Linked DNA regions of Saccharomyces cerevisiae S288C. The main gene of each other region encodes a partner of the protein of the gene in region 3 in a complex. Each region holds a gene or a part of one and is shown on either strand. Other genes may lie near its edges. The genes, in order: MRPL44, MRPL1, MRPL22 and RTC6.

Region 1 (4,923 bases), on a different chromosome or scaffold from region 3:
CGAAGTCAATTGGGTCCATTTCTACTAACGCAATTGGCTTTCCCTTTGTAGGCCATATTTCCGCAGCACTAAATAAAATGGGATCCCATTCTTCTATGCATTGACTATCAAATCCCTTCAATTCATTTGCGTCTGATATGGCAATGAGTTTAGTATCTGTAAATGCCTCCCTTACTACTGAACATTTGGATCTAGAATGCATGCCTGGCCTAGCTAGAAGTTTTCTAGCTGTTGTGCTTGGCATCCATAATAACATCTTTACTTTACCAAACCTATACAACCAGTTCTTGTTTCCAATACAGGACAGCCACTGCATTATAAGACCTTCAGAACCCTCCCCCGTCACATTAGCAACGGTTAGAAATTTATCATTAATATGATCTGAGGATTGAACTTCAGGAACAAATATTCGCTCTTCGTCAATTAGATTCGAGTAGGTTGACCAGTCATATGGATCTCTTTTTAGAATTTGCAATGGAGACCCTTCGAATTTTGCATTCAGAAACTTGTAGAGACTTGAGCGTTTTTCTAATAAAGAATATTGCCTGGGGCAATATTTATTATAAAAAATAGCTGATTGTATACCAACACCAGGGTAGAGGTCAAGTACTTTCAATTCTTCTGGATGTTTATACGTTTTAGTTAAATCCAGCTTATCAAAGATTTTATTGTATACTGTTGGATTCCATAAATATTTGAAACCATAAAAGAACTTAAGTTTGGAGATATCTTTAATACCAGGGATTGGAACAGACATAGTTGCTGAGCCTTCTTACTTCAAAGAATGGTATTGACTGACGTAGTAACCGCATTTGTAAAGTTTCATCTCTATTATCATCATACAATAATATCGCTGTTATTCGGCCGATGAGAACAGTAAATAAAATTTCAAGACAAAACTTGCTAGCAAAAATAATAAAAGCGAGAAGAATAGGAAGAACTACATAAACAAGAGACAGTGTTACCATTCAAATTAGTCGCAATAATCGACGTAAATATGGCTGTTATAAGAATTAAAAAACCCAGAGGACCAGGAGAGAAGGATCAACCATTAGAAGGCGAGCCTAAACTAAAGAGAATTCGCATAAAGACAAAGGTAACTGATGAAGATATCAAACCAAAGCCTAAATTAAAGATAAACCTAAAGAAAAAGAAAGAGAGTGCTGACGGCAAAGAGAAGAAGAATTCATTGAAGTTAAAGTTAAACTTGAAAAAAAATGAAGAACCAGTTAAGAAGATACACAAGGCGCCAAAGCTACGTCTCAAACCTATTAGAATTCCTGGGGAAGCGTACGACTCAGAAGCCTCTGATATTGAAGATGACCCTCTCATAGAGAGTGGTGTGATATTAAGGATACTTCCAGACATACAGTTAGAGTTTGTAAAAAATTCGTTAGAATCAGGTGATTATTCTGGGATAAGTATCAAGTGGAAAAACGAGAGACACGCTGTCGTAACAATAAACGATGTAATGTATGGTGCCATTCTAGTAGATTTGCCTACAGTTATAGAAGTGAACAAGAGCGTCGATAGAAAAAACCTCCTGAAGACATTTGACGTATCACAAATGCTACTATGCATAAGACCTATACAAGAAGAGGAAGAAGTATATGCCCTAGAAGCCCCTGATACAGAAGATCTGGTTGTTAAGCATTTTGAAGGCATAGAGGATGAAATTTGGGAGAATAAAGAAACCTTCTTAAAAGGATACAATGGTGCGCCTTTAAGTGATATGGAGGCTAAACATTTGAAAGAAATAGCTTTGAAGGGCTATGACTACAAACATGGAATATCACCACCTTTGTACAATGTTCGAAATAGACGATTTAGACGGAAAATGGACCCTAATGAAATAGACTATGTAGAAAAAGTGGTTGATATGCTTTTGAAGCAAGATAAACAGGCAGAAGAGGTCAGCTATGATCTGGTTGATAAAAGTGAACTGCAAGCGAGGCAAGAGCGTGTTTCTAGTTGGGAAAATTTCAAAGAGGAGCCTGGAGAGCCTTTATCTAGACCTGCTTTAAAGAAAGAAGAGATACACACAATTGCTTCGGCAGTAGGAAAACAAGGTGCAGAAGAAGAGGGAGAAGAAGGAATGGAAGAAGAAGAAGAGGAGGATCTTGACCTAGGCGCTGCTTTTGAAAGTGAAGAGGAAGGTAGCGGTGCCGAGGGAGACAAGGAGCAACAACAAGAGGAAGTCGGTGATGAGGTGGATCAAGACACAGGCGGAGAAGATGATGACGATGATGACGACGGTGACATTGAAGCTGCTGGTGGGGAAAGTGAATCTGATGACGAAAAAGACGAAAACAGACAGCACACTGAATTACTTGCGGACGAATTGAACGAACTAGAGACCACCCTGGCCCATACCAAGCATAAATTAAGTAAAGCCACGAATCCTCTTTTGAAAAGCAGGTTCATAGATAGCATTAAAAAGCTCGAGAAGGAGGCTGAACTAAAACGTAAGCAGTTACAACAAACCGAAGATTCTGTCCAGAAACAACATCAACATCGCTCTGACGCAGAAACTGCAAATAACGTCGAGGAAGAAGAAGAGGAAGAGGAAGAAGAAGAGGAAGAGGATGAAGTGGACGAAGACGAGGAGGATGACGAAGAAAACGATGAGGACGAGGATAATGTGCATGAACGGGAACACATACAAGAGAACAAGGTGGTGCGCGAACTTGATGAAGCCCCCGCAGAGGAAACACTCGACCAGAACGATCTCGATATGATGATGCTATTTGGTGCAGAGGGTGATGAGTAAGTTCTCTTTATCATCTATATATTACTCTTATACACTATACGACTCTACTCTATGACGTATAGCATTGATATATATTAAGGCACGACACCGATTTTTCTTATCGGAGCGATATAAAAAGCTGAAGAAAGGAGGATAGATGAAACAGCATGGCGCATAGAAAGTGTTCAAGCTCACTAGTAAAGGCGGGAAATAGAACATTGAGAACGTATTTTGATAATGTCCCAAGGTAGAAAAGCTGCAGAAAGATTGGCTAAGAAGACTGTCCTCATTACAGGTGCATCTGCTGGTATTGGTAAGGCGACCGCATTAGAGTACTTGGAGGCATCCAATGGTGATATGAAACTGATCTTGGCTGCTAGAAGATTAGAAAAGCTCGAGGAATTGAAGAAGACCATTGATCAAGAGTTTCCAAACGCAAAAGTTCATGTGGCCCAGCTGGATATCACTCAAGCAGAAAAAATCAAGCCCTTCATTGAAAACTTGCCACAAGAGTTCAAGGATATTGACATTCTGGTGAACAATGCCGGAAAGGCTCTTGGCAGTGACCGTGTGGGCCAGATCGCAACGGAGGATATCCAGGACGTGTTTGACACCAACGTCACGGCTTTAATCAATATCACACAAGCTGTACTGCCCATATTCCAAGCCAAGAATTCAGGAGATATTGTAAATTTGGGTTCAATCGCTGGCAGAGACGCATACCCAACAGGTTCTATCTATTGTGCCTCTAAGTTTGCCGTGGGGGCGTTCACTGATAGTTTGAGAAAGGAGCTCATCAACACTAAAATTAGAGTCATTCTAATTGCACCAGGGCTAGTCGAGACTGAATTTTCACTAGTTAGATACAGAGGTAACGAGGAACAAGCCAAGAATGTTTACAAGGATACTACCCCATTGATGGCTGATGACGTGGCTGATCTGATCGTCTATGCAACTTCCAGAAAACAAAATACTGTAATTGCAGACACTTTAATCTTTCCAACAAACCAAGCGTCACCTCATCATATCTTCCGTGGATAAACCTAGCTAAACTAAGTAAATCTGTATACTTTTTATACATGTAAGACTTTTTAGCTATTTCATTCTTCCCTGAACCGTTTTGCGCGATTCTACGGAATATACCGGCGAAATAAAAGAGATAAACTTATGGATCCTCAAATAGAGGATGAACAGATGTGAAGAAGAAACGAGCTTAATTATATCTTCGCCATGATAACTAAATACTTCAGTAAGGTAATTGTCAGGTTTAATCCCTTTGGCAAGGAAGGTATGTATTTTTTTTCGCTCTGTTATTCGTTCTCCTTACCTTTGGCCATCATGATTTAAAGATTTGGCTAAACTAGGCTGAGGTAGGCTCGAACCGATCTATCACAAATACTAACAGCAAATGATATGGTCATATCATTGATTTCAGCGAAAGTTGCTAGGTTAGTACTTGCTGCCATTCCACCAACGCAACGAAACATGGGCACGCAGATTCAATCGGAAATTATCTCAGATTACAATAAAGTCAAGCCTCTTGTGAAAGTAACCTACAAGGACAAAAAAGAAATGGAAGTCGATCCATCAAACATGAACTTTCAGGAATTAGCCAATCATTTCGACCGTCACTCGAAACAGCTGGATCTCAAACATATGTTGGAAATGCATTGAGAAAATAAAGGCATCTACAAATCTCATTGTAGGCATGCACGTTTCTAATATTCTAACAAAAACAAAGTCAGAGTTCACAAGCAAGCCTGTAAATAATATATATGCAATTACACAAACGTATAGATAGATATACCCAACCAAACTGACTTAAGGTTTAAATAGTATGGCCAATCGAATAGAACCCAAACATTATAGCCATATTAAATTACTCTTTACGCTTGTAAGGAAGACAATGTGGAAACAACATTAAGAGAATGCAGACAATTGACGCAAGTTGTACCTGCTCAGATCCGATAAAACTCGACTATGGACTATCCTGATCCAGACACAATAAGGATTTTAATTACTACAGATAATCATGTGGGTTACAACGAAAATGATCCCATTACTGGCGATGATTCTTGGAAAACTTTCCATGAAGTCATGATGCTGGCCAAAAATAACAACGTAGACATGGTTGTACAGTCCGGTGATCTTTTTCACGTGAATAAGCCTTCCAA
Region 2 (5,562 bases), on a different chromosome or scaffold from region 3:
GTTATGCTTGGTTAAACTTAGGCGCTAGCTACGGAAAACAAAAATGTAAACCTAAAAAACCGTGAAATAACACATATGCGTCAAAATTAACACATGAGTCTACTGAATAACCGACTCAATAGATTAGTGTAGCGCAGGATTAGTACAGCTATGTTTAAGAAGGAGCCTCACATAAAAGCTTTAAGTAATTTGAAGAATTCCGAAAGAAAGAAGTTGCTACAAACATTCCAAAAACAAACGAATAATGAGGAATATAGCTTTCGTACTTCCACTATAAAACAAACCAACTTTAACGGCCAGAAAAGTGTAGGAACGGTTTACACAGATGAGAATAATACCCCAATATTATTCAAGGAAAAGCATAAGGAGCAACTTTTTCCAACTGTGTATTCTTGTTGGGAATATCCTGCGTTATTGCCGATCGTTTTAACTCATGGATTTGTTATAGAAGAACATTTATTCAACGGCGCTAACTTAATGATTTCCGGTTCGATCCCACCCTTTGATCCTCGTTGTAAAATAGGTACTCTTTGTGGTATAGCTAGCAAACAGGCACCAGAAACTGTCTTAGCCATCGGTATTGTCGAATTAGATCTACCGTCCTTTGATAAAGTAATTGGTGAAACAGGAGTTGCTGTCAAAATCATACATCATTTCAATGATGGGCTCTCCAAAGTCTTTAAAATGAAATTGGAACCTCCATTTGTTCTCAGTACTCAATCAAAGGATAACAATATCAGTAGTAAACAGATAGAATCCTCGGAGCAAATCAAGGCTGTTGAAAAGGAACAAGAAGATGTAAAAGAAGCGTCTGTTGATGTAGAGGAGATTGCTGAAGTTCTAGACCATTTCACTGTGTCGGATGTAGATTATTTCATTACAAGAGCATTATATTATACCTTGACTCAAGATAAAGGTTTGGAATTACCCATTTCAGCTTCTAACTTCATCTCAAACCACATTATGCGTAATTTGCCTCCAATTGATCACAATGAAGTCAATGTAAAGAAAACTTCATGGAAAAAAAGCGCAAAATTTTTGAAACACTTCGAGAAAGAAGGCTTCTTGAAATTAAAAGGAAAGGGGGATGACTTAACTATTGTGGGCAAAAATACTGACAAGGATGAGTTAAAGAACTTTGTGCCATATAAGCTTGGTTGTAGCAAGTCTGCCACAGAAAGTAGGGAGAGCACAACCTCGAAGGAGAAAACATCTGGAATGATGTATTCACTGACTCTGTATAAACCCTTTAATCTTGCCAAAGATCTTTTGAAGGAGGTTAATTTGGCTTCTCACACGTACTACACCTCTCAGGACATTAGAAGCGCGGTTTCTCAGTATATTTCTGTCAAGAACCTAGCAGACACAAAAGATAAAGGAAAAGTTATTATGGACGATCTATTATTCGATATGGTCAATAAGAAGAAGAAAGTCTTGAATGCTTCACGTATCATTGCTAGAGGTGAAATTTTGCATCCCTTACTCACCAATAATTTTACCGAGTTCTATCAGATATTCAAAAGCGATGATACTCTCTTGTTCAAGGCGCCAATGAAGGGTTCCCTTCCGCATATTAAGATTATTACTGAAATGAAAATTGGCAGAAAAGTTATTACCAGAGTGAGCAATTTTGAAGTGTTTCAAGTCGACCCAGAATCACTTGCGGCTGACTTAAGAAAGATTTGTAGCGGATCGACAACAATAAGTGAATCACAAACATTCAAATGTGCTGAAGTGCAGGTTCAAGGTCCACACGGTCAATCGATCATTGATCACCTTAACAAGCTAGGTATTCCAAGCAAATGGATAGACTTTGAGAACAAGTTGAAGAAGAAAAAAAGAAAGTAGATTTATATCATATAAATGTTTAAATGCGTAAAAATGCCCGACATCAAAGCATATAGAACTTTTTTACCTAATCGAAGCTTTTCTAAAGTAGGTATTATGGTAGTCTTGAAACCCACAAAAAATATGAATGTATCATGGGAGGGAACGAAATGTTTTCAACAGCGGTAAAAATATACTATATTTGTATATCCAGTTCATCTTTACTATTCTCTATTTTTTAGTGTAACTTACATTATGAGACTAGCGACAAAATCTCCTTTTTAAGCGAAAAGAGAAAACTTTCGAAAAACCAAAGTATTTTGAAAAACGACCTGAAATAAAGGGAATTTGAAGAAAACTAAACAGTGATAAGTCATCAAAGAAGATGCTATCCGTAGTAGCGATCCCGAAAATATGTGTCACAGGTCCTGCAAGAAGATGCTTTTTTCATACTGCAAAAAAACTATACGCAGATGACTATAAACCAGCAGCTATGTCCTCCAATGCACCTTCGCTAACAAAAGACCAAGCCAAAAAAAGAGAGTTGAAAAGATTGGTACAACGAAAGGCCGAGGCAAAGAGACCAGCTACAGCAAGCCCATTGTACATGCCTGTTACAAAGGCACTAAGATATTTACGCGCAGCAGAAGTTGGCAGACCGCAATCGCAACAGACAATTAATTTGACTACATTGGTAGTCGGTGAAAGAGGTACAGCGCCTTTATCCGGTAGCGTGACATTTCCTAAGCCTTTGAGATATATCAAAATTGCTGCCTTTACCAACGACGAAAGTAAATTGGAAGAGCTTCGTGAGAAATACCCAAATCATTTGATTGGCGGAGCAGATCTTGTTGCCAAAATTAAAAGCGGTGAAATTAGCGTTGATTTTGACAAAGCATTTGCAACTCCTGATATTGTTCCAGCTTTACAATCGCAGGTGGCCAGGATACTTGGTCCTCGTGGGGTTTTACCCTCTGTCAAAAAAGGTACGGTGAGTGATGATATAAGCTCCTTACTTCAAGAAAGTCTAGGATCTATGCCTTTCAGGCAAAGGGGAAACTCTATCAGCATTGGAGTCGGCAAATGCTACTTCACTGATCGAGAAATTTTACAAAACATTATATCCGCTAGAGCGGCATTTAAAACTGCTGTTGATAATCAAAAATCTAAGAAACCAAATATACTGAGTAAAACCACATTATCAAGCACACATGGCCCCGGTATTGTAATCGATTTTGCTTAATCAGCGAATCAGTTTTGTCTTGTTGGACTTTTTTAATTGTATATATATATATACTGGTGCATTTTCTTTCTTTTTATATAAAATCATGTACATACAAAGTAACCGTCTTTTTAAAGTGGAATAAAGTAACTGCTCTTTTATTTTTGAATAATAGTGAAAGTGTATGTTGCATAATCATTAGATACCTATGTACAAGAAGTATTCAAATTTATCTGAATAGTATGTGAAATTTCAATGAGACAAAAACCACCTACCTTTGAGCTTCCTCCTTTTCAATATCTTAGAGCCCTGTTTGCTCTTGGCCCTAGCCAAGAAACCAAAAGTTCTCTTCCGTTTCAATGTACTAGGTTGATAGGTGTTACCCCTTGATTTCCATCTTCTTTGACCTATTAAGCCAAATCCCAACGGTGTGAAGGACGGAGTCTTCAATGGTGAACTGTTTAAGAGCATACCGGTTTGTGGGCGTAACACAGATAGAGCAGAGAAAGAAGATATAGATGAAAACATTCTTCTTGATTGAGGCTGGCAGAGCCTTGCAAATAGTGGCATTCCGTCCTGCGATTACTACTGTTCTATTCCAACGTTTCTCAGTGAGTTTCTCCTGTAGTTATTTCACTTGTTGTACCTCACAGCTTCTACGGGAAAATTGGCTTTTCAAATTCCTTACAGCTTTCGATCACGTGATCCGAGCTTCAAATGACCTTTCGACGATGCGTTTCATGATTATGTATATATATGTATATATATATATCTATACAGTCTTAAGGAAGCGCTTAAGTTGTTACATGTTAATACTTTAGGGTTGGATTTATTTTACGGATAACATAGGATTTGCGAGAAATATCTGCTTCACTATCACTTTCCGTGCGACGTGTGTATTTGTTAGCGTAGGTTGCTTATCGTTTTCACACAAAGATCTCAAACGCGTCAAAAAACTCGTGTAAGAGGTCAAAAAGAAAAACAAACAAAATAAACAAACAAAATAAATGCAGCTTTAAATCAATATTCGGCGAAGGCAAGTAACGGTTGCTAGCGGTTTTTCCCATTCACATACTATTACACTTCTGCGGTACCAAGCTAGATTAAGTGCTAGATAATAAACCTTTATGATGCCAGCTAACGAAGATAAAGAGAATAATATCGTATATACAGGGAATGAAAGTTCCGGCATTAACTTTCCACAGACGCCGGCTCACTTGCTGAAAAGGTCGCACTCTAATATTTTAAAACCACCTGTAAGATTGGACCAACTCAAAAGGGATGCGAACAGCAACAATGGCAACACATTAAAGTACATACAAGGAGGGAAGGAGGTGTCACCCACAAAAAGGTTGCATACCCATGCGCAACAACAAGGAAGATTGCCTCTGGCAGCAAAAGACAACAATAGATCGAAAAGCTTTATTTTTCCCGAAACTTCTAATCAGAGTAAAGATGCAGACTTACCACAACTACAGAATACACTATCTATACGCAAAAACGACCAACTCAGGAAACTTTCGCAAATTTCTCGCAGTCGTAGTAGGGCCAACCATAATGATTTGTTAAGCAATTCAAGAAAGTTACAAAAGTACGGTTCTGTCCTTGGTTATAATGCTTTACCTAAAATGAAAAGTCTAGTTTTAAAAGATCTTGCAGATTCAGGTAAAAATGAAGAGAGTTCCGACGATGATGAAGGTAATGAAGATTCCGAGAGTAAACTTGGCAAAAAACTCCAAAGTGCACTTTTAAAACAGGATTCCTCCGACGGTGAAAATGAATTAAATGGTGGCCTAGGACTATTTAATGAGCAAGGTGGTCTGCAACAACTCATAAAGAACTCCACGAAGAATGAGCAAAAAACTAAAAACGATAAAAGTGATAAAACTGATGACTATGATATCGAAATAGCACCACAGAGGCAGGAGCCGTTACCGTATGTACCAGAAGGCTATTCCCCATTTCAACAAGATGATATTGAAAAGCTGAAGACGTTCAACTCACCATATAAGCTTGACTTGGAAGACGAAGATGACACCCCAGATAAAGTTGATTTACTCCCACTAGAACAAATTGATGAAGAAGGCGAAAAAGATGAGACTGAGTGCATCACTCGGAATCAAGAAGAAGGTGCAGCGTTACCACTGCTGTCTAAGAACTTCAAAGAAGTTGCCGCCGTCCCAACCATGGAGTTAGTGTACAGCGAAGAAGGCCTCGATCCTGAAGAACTAGAGGACTTAGTTACTTAGATCCACTGCTCATTCACATACACACAACATATATACACGTATATACAGATACTTTATAACATACAATTCTGGTTAAAAGCGGTTGCTCCTGCCGCCGGGATTTAATCTGCGGCCTCACCCATACCTCAACTACCGCCATTGTTCGTACGTTTTAAATGGCTTCGCTTCACCCTTGATTGGCAAAGGGTCCAAGAGGGATCACATCACGATACTATTGTTTCTACTAATGTGCTGCGGGCTGATGTCCTCCACACGTCTTCAATT
Region 3 (5,312 bases):
TGCATTAAAGGATAAAAGTTGTAGAAAAATTGCCGGAAGGCCATTGCGAATGGAATACGGTGAAGATAGAAGTAAAAGACAAGTTCGTAAGAAGGTTGAAAATGTATCCAGAAACAATTCCTCATCATTTGATATCTCTAACAACAAAGGATACGATCGTGCGGGACAGGATAACGGCAGCAAACCCGAATACAAGCGGTCCAACGCCAACAGACGTCCACCTGTAGATTCCAATAACCGAACTAAGAGCAGTGTAGCTTTAGCCACTGCTCAGAGAGGTTCTGCAGCTATTGTCCCATCACAAGGTAAGAAAGTGAAGTTTGACTAATCAGCGTGAACTGACTGTAGGTGCCACGTATATAATGCGATTATTTCGCTTGTAAATTATTCAATCATTCATGTTTTATATATACATTGTATAACCAATTGCTGCTATTTTTATTTTTTCCATTATTGCTTATCAAGGCACGGGGAGAACGCACGGAAAAAAAAAAAAAAAAGAAGAAAGAAATGAGGTAAACAAGATCTTTAGGAGCGGTTCGCATATTAGTAATACACTGATAATCGCCGTACACTCATAAAATCCTAAACTACTCACCAGGTACCGAAACACTACTGATCCGTTTTTTGGACTGGTTGTTGGCACACTTTCGCTTAAGACACACATTTAGTATTTCAATCCCCATCCGTCGATATCTGAAGGAAATCTAAAAGAAAAGCTGGATAGAGTAATTATTTTGGCCATCGTATGAACTCCAATAGTACCATCGGAAGGACCACCCTTGGAGAATCTGATACGATATCCCTGTCATTCAGTGAACCAAGTAGCAGTCTGAATTCACGATCAACGGATGTTGTCTTCGCATCTACTTCAACTTTAGTACCCCAACAAGGAAGTCTGACCTCATTACCGCCCGTGTCTAGTACAGCTACTCCTACATATTATTCTACAAGCTTAACATATGATGAGACTTTGCATACATCCATTGATGTATCTTCGACAAGTACTTTAGTATCATCTACCGACAGCAGTTCATCGAGCGAGCAAGATACGTATAGTTCCCAATATGACCCAGCTACCTCCTCATACTCAATAATTACACCATCCATGTCCATTTTCTCATCGACGTCACCAATGTCATCATCGTCGTCAATAACGTCGGAATGGTCATCGTTAACATCAACAACACCAACGTTATCGTCATCAGCTACATCGCTGTCATCATCATGGTCGTCGTTATCATCACCATCTTCGTTACTGGTATCGTCCTCGTTGTCATTATCACTATCTTCATCATATTCAGACACTAAATTGTTTTCGTTCGACAGCAGATCTTCTATTTTCTCACCATCAACACCCACCGTAATATCCCCTAGTTACACATACTTGTCTTCCATATCTGCAACTTCATTTCAAATTAGTACCACTTCAGAACTCTCTTCTAGTTGGTTCTCAACAATTTCTTCTCCTTCTACGATATCAAATAAAGATACCACATTCCCAAGTTCCAGTCGGAATACTTCCACATCGTTTTACAGTTCATCGCTTTCATCGACGAACGATTTTTCAACCATAAGCAAATCATCGAAACTCAGTCCATCAGCTTCATCTTCGACAGTTTCCATAAGCACGATTTCCGTGCCAACGTCAAGTTCTGTTAGCTCATCCAGCAGTAAAGTACCTTCAAACCGTCCTTCATCATCATCATCATCAGATGATACAACAAGTGCTTACTCAAGCACGTATACTTTTCAGTCCTTACAATCTACTACTAGCAGCAGTATACCACCCACCACTCAAACACCCAGCACTAGTACGATTTCTACGTCTCCCATACCAACATCCAGTCAGGTCTTCAATACGGTAGCCATTTCAAGCTCCGAAGATTCAAAAACTATTTATTATTTCTATACCCAAACATATGATATTACTGACTCCTCTACAACGTTCGTGACGGGATTACCTACGACCATAGCAGTTGCAAAAAGTGAGGTAACCTCATTTTCCGCTCCATCTTCGACGATCACAGCTGACATGTCTTTCTATCAGCACTGGCTTGATGGCAGTTTGGATAATAACAAAAACCAAGGCACTTCAAAGACAAATACTGGTACCATTGTTGGAAGTGTGGTAGGAAGCGTCGGTGGTATTCTTATATGTGTACTAGTAGTTTGGTTCATGCTGGTTAGAAAAAGGAAGGCAAAGAGGCATTTCAAGGAAAACGATTCCTTCTGTCACGAGATTGGGCGCAGAACGGGATTCCCAACAACTGCCCAAGCAAAAGAGGCGTCACTTCAAGCTCAAGACTCGGGATCACAGCAACGAAACACCGAGACTGCTTCTGCTAATAATCCGTTCAGCAACGAATTCAATTTTAAGGCAAGAGGAAATCCTCCTCCAGTGCCACCACCAAGGAATGTTACCGCAATGAATGGCTCCTTTCAAAATATGCGGAGTAATTTCATGGACCAGGAAAACAGATTTTCCTATGGCTCTTCATTTACATATTCGTCATTGGGTTCATCTACTCAAGGTGGCTTTTCTACTTTATCTTCAAATTCGATACGACTCGGACGTGGTTTAGATAATGACATCTCTCATGATGAGAGAAATACAGTTCAGAACAATTCACAAGGGTTCTTGAGGGAAATTATATGACGATGACTTCAGTCTATTAGTATGATGTTTACTAATTAAGCAAAATCAGCTCTTGCTGAATAACACTACTATTAAAAATCATAAAAACATCTTTATTGCCAATAGTGAAGAACGACAAGGCCTTTTAAAAGGCATAAAAAACAATGATACCATTCTGCAATGAAAAAAAAAGAAAACTTTGTTCTTTGTGTATAAAGAAAATATTTTAGTTCTCCTAAATAAATAAATACTAAATTATACGAAACTCTTTCAGTCTTTTCTCCTGCTTGCTGCTTGAACAGTACTCATGATATTCTATTAATCTTCTGTGGGCGGGGTAACTAAGCCTTCACTGTACTCGGGATTTTGAATAAAAGTCAACTATCCAATCTGGAAGGCATTTTAACATACGCCATTAGGAGCCGCATAGCAAGTCAGAGAACCTCACCTCACCCTATCTTTTTTATTAAAGAAAATGAACTTCCACACGGCAAGAATATCTCAGGTCGGTGTCATTTCTAGGGCTCTACTTTCTTCTGTAAGTAGACGTTGGATTCATGTAACGCCAATAAGTCTTAATAATTCAGGAGGATCACTATTCGGAAGCATTACAGAAAATAAACCAAAGGAAGGAAAAAACAGGGGGGATGAAGATGCAGGCAGCTTCTCTAATAGGTTAGCGATTGCTTCTGATTCTTCTGGAGAGGCTCCTGAAGTTAATAGGGATTCAATAACCATAGAAAACGATAAACTACTACAGCAACATATCATATCGTTGCAGCAACCGGAACAATTAGCATCACAGAGCTTATTATCTCCTTTGAAAAGGGAAATATATGAAGCTAATTGTAAAATTAATGGTGGGTTTTACAAGAAAGATACTATTGTAAAGTTACCAAATTCTAGCGAACGTTACAAGCTAAAGTTAACAAAAAGAGAAATTGAAGTACTAGAACCTTCCGTATATGCTCAGTCATATAGAATTAAATCGTCGATGAAAAAGGCTACACTTTTGTTGAGGTTATTGGGAGGCCTCGACGTTATGAAAGCTATATCTCAGTGTCACTTTTCTAATAAGAAAATTGCTCGCGAAGTAGCAGAACTACTTCAAAAAGGTGTAAAAGATGGCCAAAAATTAGGTTTGAAACCAGAGGACTTATATATCTCTCAGATTTGGACAGGGAGTGACGGGTTTTGGAGAAAACGTGTTGAATTCAAGGCAAGGACAAGAATCGGAATCATAAGTCATCCTTACATACATGTCAGATGTATTCTGAGAACAAAGAGTGTTACGAAACGAAGACTTGCTTATGAAGCACATTTAAAAGAGCAAAAAAGAGCGCCATGGGTACAGTTGGGAGATAAGCCCATTAGGGGTGTTACAGGCGGCGTATACAAGTGGTGAAAACGATAGCGAACTCATTCATATCCGAGAAATCGTCCTGTAAGCTGAGAAAGATGAACTGCTACTCACTTCTTAACCTATATTCACAGTTGTGTTGTACAAAACTTTTCTTTTGATTATATAATATTGTGATTCTGTAAATAACAACTAGTTTCAACGCACTGCTTCAACGTGCACCCTCCTGACTAAACACGGCAATATGCAAGAAACCGCAACAATTAAGTGCACTAGAATAGAAGAAATTATTGTACTTATAGTTTATTTATGTATTTAATAATTAAATCTAAGCTTCAACTGGTTCAGCTTGAGCTTCAGTTTCTTCAGCTGGTCTGTAGTCCTTGACAGATGGAGCAAGAATTGGTTCTTCTTCTTTTGGTTCAATGATGGTGACAGCATCTGGCAAAGCCTTTGGACCAGTTCTGCTCTTAGCTGGGTCTCTCATAATCTTAACCTTGATACCCAAAACACCTTGTCTCATCAAGACGTGTCTAGTAGCAGTGTCAATGAAGTCGTTGACTGGTTGACCAGAGTGAATCAAGAAACCGTCAGCAAATTTCATAGCCTTAGCTCTGGCAGCTCTTAGTTTACCGGAAACAACAACTTCACAACCCTTAGCACCAGATTCCATAACGTATCTGACGACACCGTAAGCAGCTCTTCTGATAGCCAAACCGTTCAACAATTTGAATTTCATAGATTCAGCTTGAGCGACAGCGGACAAACCACGGTCTTGAACTCTTTCAGCATATAAGACAATAGTACCTGGAGCGTACTTGAATCTCTTTTGAACCAACAAAGTTAATTCGTTGATTCTTCTACCGTTTTCACCCAAAACATCTTGAGTTCTGGTAGCTCTGATGATAACTTCGGTCTTGGTTGGAGTGACACGGACTTCAACACCGGAGTAACCTTCTTCAGCTAATTCTCTGGTGAAGAATTCGTTCAATTCAGCGTAGAAGACACCGTCAGCGACTAGCTTTCTTTTCTTAGAGATTAAAGCGACCATTTTTGTAGTTTGTTTGCTGTTTTATTTTCAGTTATCAAAACAATGTTCAAAAACTAATCTAACAATATCTACAAACTAGAAATTGCTTAAAATGTATGAAAAATGCTGTTGTATTTCAAAGAGCTGCATTGATTTGGAAAATTTACCACTGCCCATGGGAGAAAGGCTCGCGGCGCCTCATCTCAAGAAAAGAAAATGTTTTTTTCATAAAAAAAACAAACTTTACAGCAAGAATATTATACAGGAAAGGTATGGATGTTACG
Region 4 (4,608 bases), on a different chromosome or scaffold from region 3:
AAGCCTTCAGAACTTAAAAATTAAAAGCAAGCACTGTTTCAATAAGCCGGAAAATTTTTCTTCCTCATGTTTGACCTCCTTCCGAAATCATATTTTAGTCGGCTCACGTTTTAGTACATTAGTAATCTACAACTTACTTGATGAGAGCGAGGAGCCCTTCATAATTAGGAGATTAAGTCCCGGAGACACTACAACCTCAATCGAATTTGTAGAAGATAAAGACAACTCTGCGGTCTTCTCAGTAACAAATAGGGATGGCTATTATGTATTTATTGAGTTGACGAAAAACAGTTTGGAAGAGGGTCCCTACCGACTAAGTTATAAGGTCTTGCATTCTAATAAGATGATGAAAGGTTTCTTGGAGGGCGCTTTCTTTAATTCAAAAGGTGAATACATTACTTATGGGTTCAAGTCCAGCTTGTTTTATCTCTACAATGAAACCAACTGTTATGAACTAGCTAGTGAAGTTTGTGGTGGTTCCCATCGTCTGTGGAATCTCGCAAAAATTACTGATGGCCACGTATTAATGTATATTAAGGCATCCCGATTTCATTTAAGGAAAATTTACAACTCCATTGTGCCTGAAACTTTAGAAAATGGTGTACACGGAAGGGAAATCAGAGATATTTCAATCTGTCCTGTTTCAAATACCAACACGAATGACAATTTTAAGGATGGGCATATATTCTGTACTGCATCTGAAGATACTACAATTAAGCTGGGATATTTTAACAATAGAACAGGGAAGGTGCAGAATTTTTGGACACAAAGAAAGCATGTGTCTGGATTACAACGTTGTCAGTTTATAAATCACAAACTAATGATATCATCTTCAGCTAGAGAGGAGTTATTCTTATGGGAATTGAACGATAAGTATAATAAACGACCATATATGACCATACGACAAGCTTTACCTGTATCCACAAATAATTCTGATCTAAGGATCATGGATTTTGATGTCAAATTTATATCACAGTCAGGTGACTTCTTATTAGTTACTGTTTATTCAGATTCAACAATAAAGATTTGGCACTATAGGGAAAATCAGAATAAGTTTGACCTGATCATGCAAGGTCGTTATAAGACGTGCTGTTTATTCAACGTCGTATTTATTGCACTGAAAGAAGAGCTCCTTGTTGTCATTTCACCAACTGATGGACATTTAGTGGTTTATAATATAACCGAGTACGTACCATTTTCCGTTGATCCGATTTCTGGCGATTTGGTTGACCACAAACTGGACGCTACTATCTCAAATCTTCCCGCACCTGTAGCGCAGTTGCCGGTACATCAATCTGGTGTCAAGTCCCTAGACTATGTTGCTAATGCTACAAGAACTTCCGCCACAATTTTGACAGGGGGTGATGATAATGGTTTAGGGTTAAGCAACCTGAAATTAGATGACTCGAATAAAGTAACGTTAAAAACAAGTGACTTTATCGCTGCAGCAGCTTCTTCGACAATAACGTCCGGTATGTTGATTAATGGTGGCAAAGAAGTCATTACCACATCGGTTGATCAAGTAATACGCGCTTGGGAAATTACCGCAGGCAAGCTTTCACTGGTAGATAAAAAGCGTACCACTGTGGCGGATACAGGATCATTAGAAATCATTTCCAATGATGAAGATGCTGATTCTGAGAAAACGTTACTGATCGGAGGTGTTGGTTTATCAATTTGGAAAAAATGATACAAAAAATTAACATATACATAAAAGAATATTATAGATATGTATTATTTACAGATTTTAGAAAATGAGAATATTTTGTAAACACCCGAACGGAGAACAGCGAAGAGATTTACATCTTTCAGCCTTGACGCTGTTTGTGTTTTTTATTCGACTTGCAATAAATGTATACTCTTCCCTTTCTTCTTACCAAGTAGCAATCACTGCAGAACTTTTTGACAGATGTTCTGACCTTGAAACCTCTGTTAAAAACCAAAGGTCTGTTAGCTGCAACAAGAGCTGGTTGCGGAGCTGCAACAGATAGGAGGCTGGGCACTGTGCAGGCCCTTGTTATCGTTATGGGGGACGGTTTCATGTGCAAAAACATCCTTGGCATAGTTAGGCGGAGAGTCTGTAAAAACATTCTTTGAAATCCTTTCGCTTGCTGAAAAATTCTGAGATTTGTACTATGAACCGTAGCCGTTATATGCGAGTAGATCGAGGCTATATCCCAATGCCAATAGTTCCACGATTCATTCCCTTTCTATTTGGAATAAGTGCGAAGACAGAATTTTTAATTTCGGCTTGGGTGAGAGAAAAAAAAAATCATAGTTTCGTTACGCAGATAGTAAATAACTAATACATAGATAAAAGCACCACCTTCTACCGGACCGTCGTCATTCTCGGCAACACCGTTGAAGTGTTTATGACTACGCTTTTTTTATCCTCACTTTTGGAATGCCCTTGAACTATGGACCTTTCACTCCCTATTGACAAATTCAAAAGACAAAAAAGGGAAACACTTGGAAAAGGTAACTTGACGTCCAATAATACACGCCGAATGAGGGCAGACTATGTCTTTCTTCCAACTGCCGTGGCAGTTGCGTACTTATCATTCTTATGTTCTTACAGTGGGATTCCACCATCATGGTAACCCGGTGCTTTTTTTCCTTGTGGTACGATTTTGGCTATGAGAAGAGAAAGAAAAGACAGAAAAAAACACGATCTTGAAATTAACTTTACCAGAAAGTGGATCTTGTGGTTGTCCGAAAGTCTACAAAGAGATTCAGTCACAACCGCAATCATACTCCATCCCTTCGTCACAGCAATAAATTAATCAGTTTCTTTGCCTTTGGTGGAAAGTAAAAAAAACTAAACTTGGTTCAGCACAGCGCTATATCTACGAGAACACCGTTGCCCACTCTTATACATTATTTTCACAGAGTCACATTCCCCACTGAATTCTCTCCTTAAGCTTCCTTTCTCTGTTTATTTTACCAATTTACAATTTCTAGAACTGATAGTCTCTGTACCTTTCCTTTAGATACACATACGCTTCATTTCTTTTGAACATTGTATTCTTCTATTTTCTTCGTTCTTCCGTTATTTGATATTTGCCCCTTTTTAAGTCTTCTGACTCACCTGTTCTGCTTTACCAATTAGGCTCCTTAATTGGTTCAACTGTCCATTCCAGCCTCATATTTTTCACTTTATCTTTCTTCATCATTTTTTTTGTCTAATTAATATCCGTTTCCAACTTCAATTCTCAAGGACACTCTTTTTTTTTTTGAAAAAAAATATCATATTTTTCTTTGCTAATACTATTTTATTTTTTCAATTCTGGTCGTTGAAGCCTTTTCTATTCAGATATTTCCTAAAGAAAAACAAAGAACTATCGTTGTATTTTTTTTTTTCTTCACCATCACATACTACTTCAATTGCATTAAAACATGGTGGTTTCTTATAACAATAATAATAACAATAACAATAACAATAACAATAATAATATCAGTAATAATAATAACAATAATAACATGTTCCCTCCTTTTCCTTCTTCCGATGACTTTGCAATGTATCAACAGTCCAGTTCTTCCGGCCCTTACCAAGAAACTTATGCGAGTGGCCCTCAAAACTTTGGCGATGCTGTGTATCCTATGAATGGTAATTTTACTCTTTTACCATCCGACTTTACACGAGAGCCTAATGATTCGTTCTTTTACGAGAATGACGGAATTTTTGATTATCAGCGTATTCAACAGCAACCAACTCAATTCCAGACAAAGCAGCGAAATGATTCACAACAGCAACGGTTTTCACAGGAACAAAATTTCGAAATTGATAACGAAGTTGTCCACAATAACAATCGTTATTATGAATATGAAAGGTCATCAAATGAAGTCTCTCCTTTTGATGATGAGAATCCAAATGTGTTATCTGATGGCATGTCACCCACTATTATGGCAACTGCAACTGCAGTAACCAACGCAAATGCGCCTTTACCAGTTAATGCACAAGCCAATAATCCTTTGAATTTTACATCGGCCCCAAGTAGAACTGTTTATTTGGGTAATGTGCCACCAAACCTAAGCGTTAAAGAGTTATTGGATCATGTCAGAAGTGGTGTCGTTGAAGACGTCAAAATCATACCTGAAAAGATGTGTGCATTCGTTTCGTTTATAGATGAAAGTGCTGCACTATTGTTCCATTCAGACGCAATTTTAAAGCGCTTGAACATCGGTGACAGGGATATCAAAATCGGGTGGGGGAAACCAACTCGAATTGATCCTATTGTAGCGGCTAGAATCTCTACGGACGGTGCCACAAGAAATGTATACATTGGCCGTATGACGATTGAAGGCGAAGAATCACATTTATCTGAGGAGCAATTGAGGGTTGATTTAGAAGAATATGGTGAAATTGACTGTATAAAAATTATCAAGGAAAAGGGAATCGCCTTTATTCATTTTGCGTCTATTTTAAATGCTATAAAAGTGGTTACGAATCTGCCAATTAGAAATCCATACTATCAAAATAAGAGAATATTTTATGGAAAGGACAGATGTGCATTTATTACCAAAACTCAACAACATAATGCGGCTCAATTTCTAGGTGTACAACCTGGTATGGAACATATGATAGAGTTTTCTGATCGTGAATTTATA

What was found.
Region 1: MRPL22 (region 3) and MRPL44 share a complex: the UniProt entries of both Saccharomyces cerevisiae proteins name them as parts of the mitochondrial large ribosomal subunit.
Region 2: MRPL22 (region 3) and MRPL1 share a complex: the UniProt entries of both Saccharomyces cerevisiae proteins name them as parts of the mitochondrial large ribosomal subunit.
Region 4: MRPL22 (region 3) and RTC6 share a complex: the UniProt entries of both Saccharomyces cerevisiae proteins name them as parts of the mitochondrial large ribosomal subunit.

What each region holds. Positions count from the first base shown.
Region 1 is NC_001145.3:720,460-725,382, reverse strand, and holds MRPL44 (mitochondrial 54S ribosomal protein mL53 MRPL44), read left to right. Parts: upstream 1-3,979; coding exon 3,980-4,037; intron 4,038-4,184; coding exon 4,185-4,423; downstream 4,424-4,923. Other genes in the region: MTF1 (RNA polymerase specificity factor), read right to left, coding at 1-757; TATA-binding protein-associated factor TAF7, read left to right, coding at 998-2,770; ORA1 (oxidoreductase), read left to right, coding at 2,987-3,790; MRE11 (MRX complex nuclease subunit), read left to right, coding at 4,730-4,923. UniProt on the Saccharomyces cerevisiae protein: Component of the mitochondrial ribosome (mitoribosome), a dedicated translation machinery responsible for the synthesis of mitochondrial genome-encoded proteins, including at least some of the essential transmembrane subunits of the mitochondrial respiratory chain.
Region 2 is NC_001136.10:680,232-685,793, reverse strand, and holds MRPL1 (mitochondrial 54S ribosomal protein uL1m MRPL1), read left to right. Parts: upstream 1-2,212; coding exon 2,213-3,070; downstream 3,071-5,562. Other genes in the region: TMA64 (Tma64p), read left to right, coding at 151-1,848; mitochondrial 54S ribosomal protein bL34m MRX14, read right to left, coding at 3,302-3,619; YDR114C (uncharacterized protein), read left to right, coding at 3,568-3,870; PDS1 (securin), read left to right, coding at 4,177-5,298. UniProt on the Saccharomyces cerevisiae protein: Component of the mitochondrial ribosome (mitoribosome), a dedicated translation machinery responsible for the synthesis of mitochondrial genome-encoded proteins, including at least some of the essential transmembrane subunits of the mitochondrial respiratory chain.
Region 3 is NC_001146.8:302,417-307,728, reverse strand, and holds MRPL22 (mitochondrial 54S ribosomal protein uL22m MRPL22), read left to right. Parts: upstream 1-3,113; coding exon 3,114-4,043; downstream 4,044-5,312. Other genes in the region: NOP13 (Nop13p), read left to right, coding at 1-328; TDA7 (Tda7p), read left to right, coding at 749-2,659; 40S ribosomal protein uS3 RPS3, read right to left, coding at 4,327-5,049. UniProt on the Saccharomyces cerevisiae protein: Component of the mitochondrial ribosome (mitoribosome), a dedicated translation machinery responsible for the synthesis of mitochondrial genome-encoded proteins, including at least some of the essential transmembrane subunits of the mitochondrial respiratory chain.
Region 4 is NC_001148.4:196,577-201,184, reverse strand, and holds RTC6 (mitochondrial 54S ribosomal protein bL36m RTC6), read right to left. Parts: upstream 2,091-4,608; coding exon 1,809-2,090; downstream 1-1,808. Other genes in the region: tRNA (34-2'-O)-methyltransferase regulator RTT10, read left to right, coding at 1-1,690; MRN1 (Mrn1p), read left to right, coding at 3,397-4,608. UniProt on the Saccharomyces cerevisiae protein: Component of the mitochondrial ribosome (mitoribosome), a dedicated translation machinery responsible for the synthesis of mitochondrial genome-encoded proteins, including at least some of the essential transmembrane subunits of the mitochondrial respiratory chain.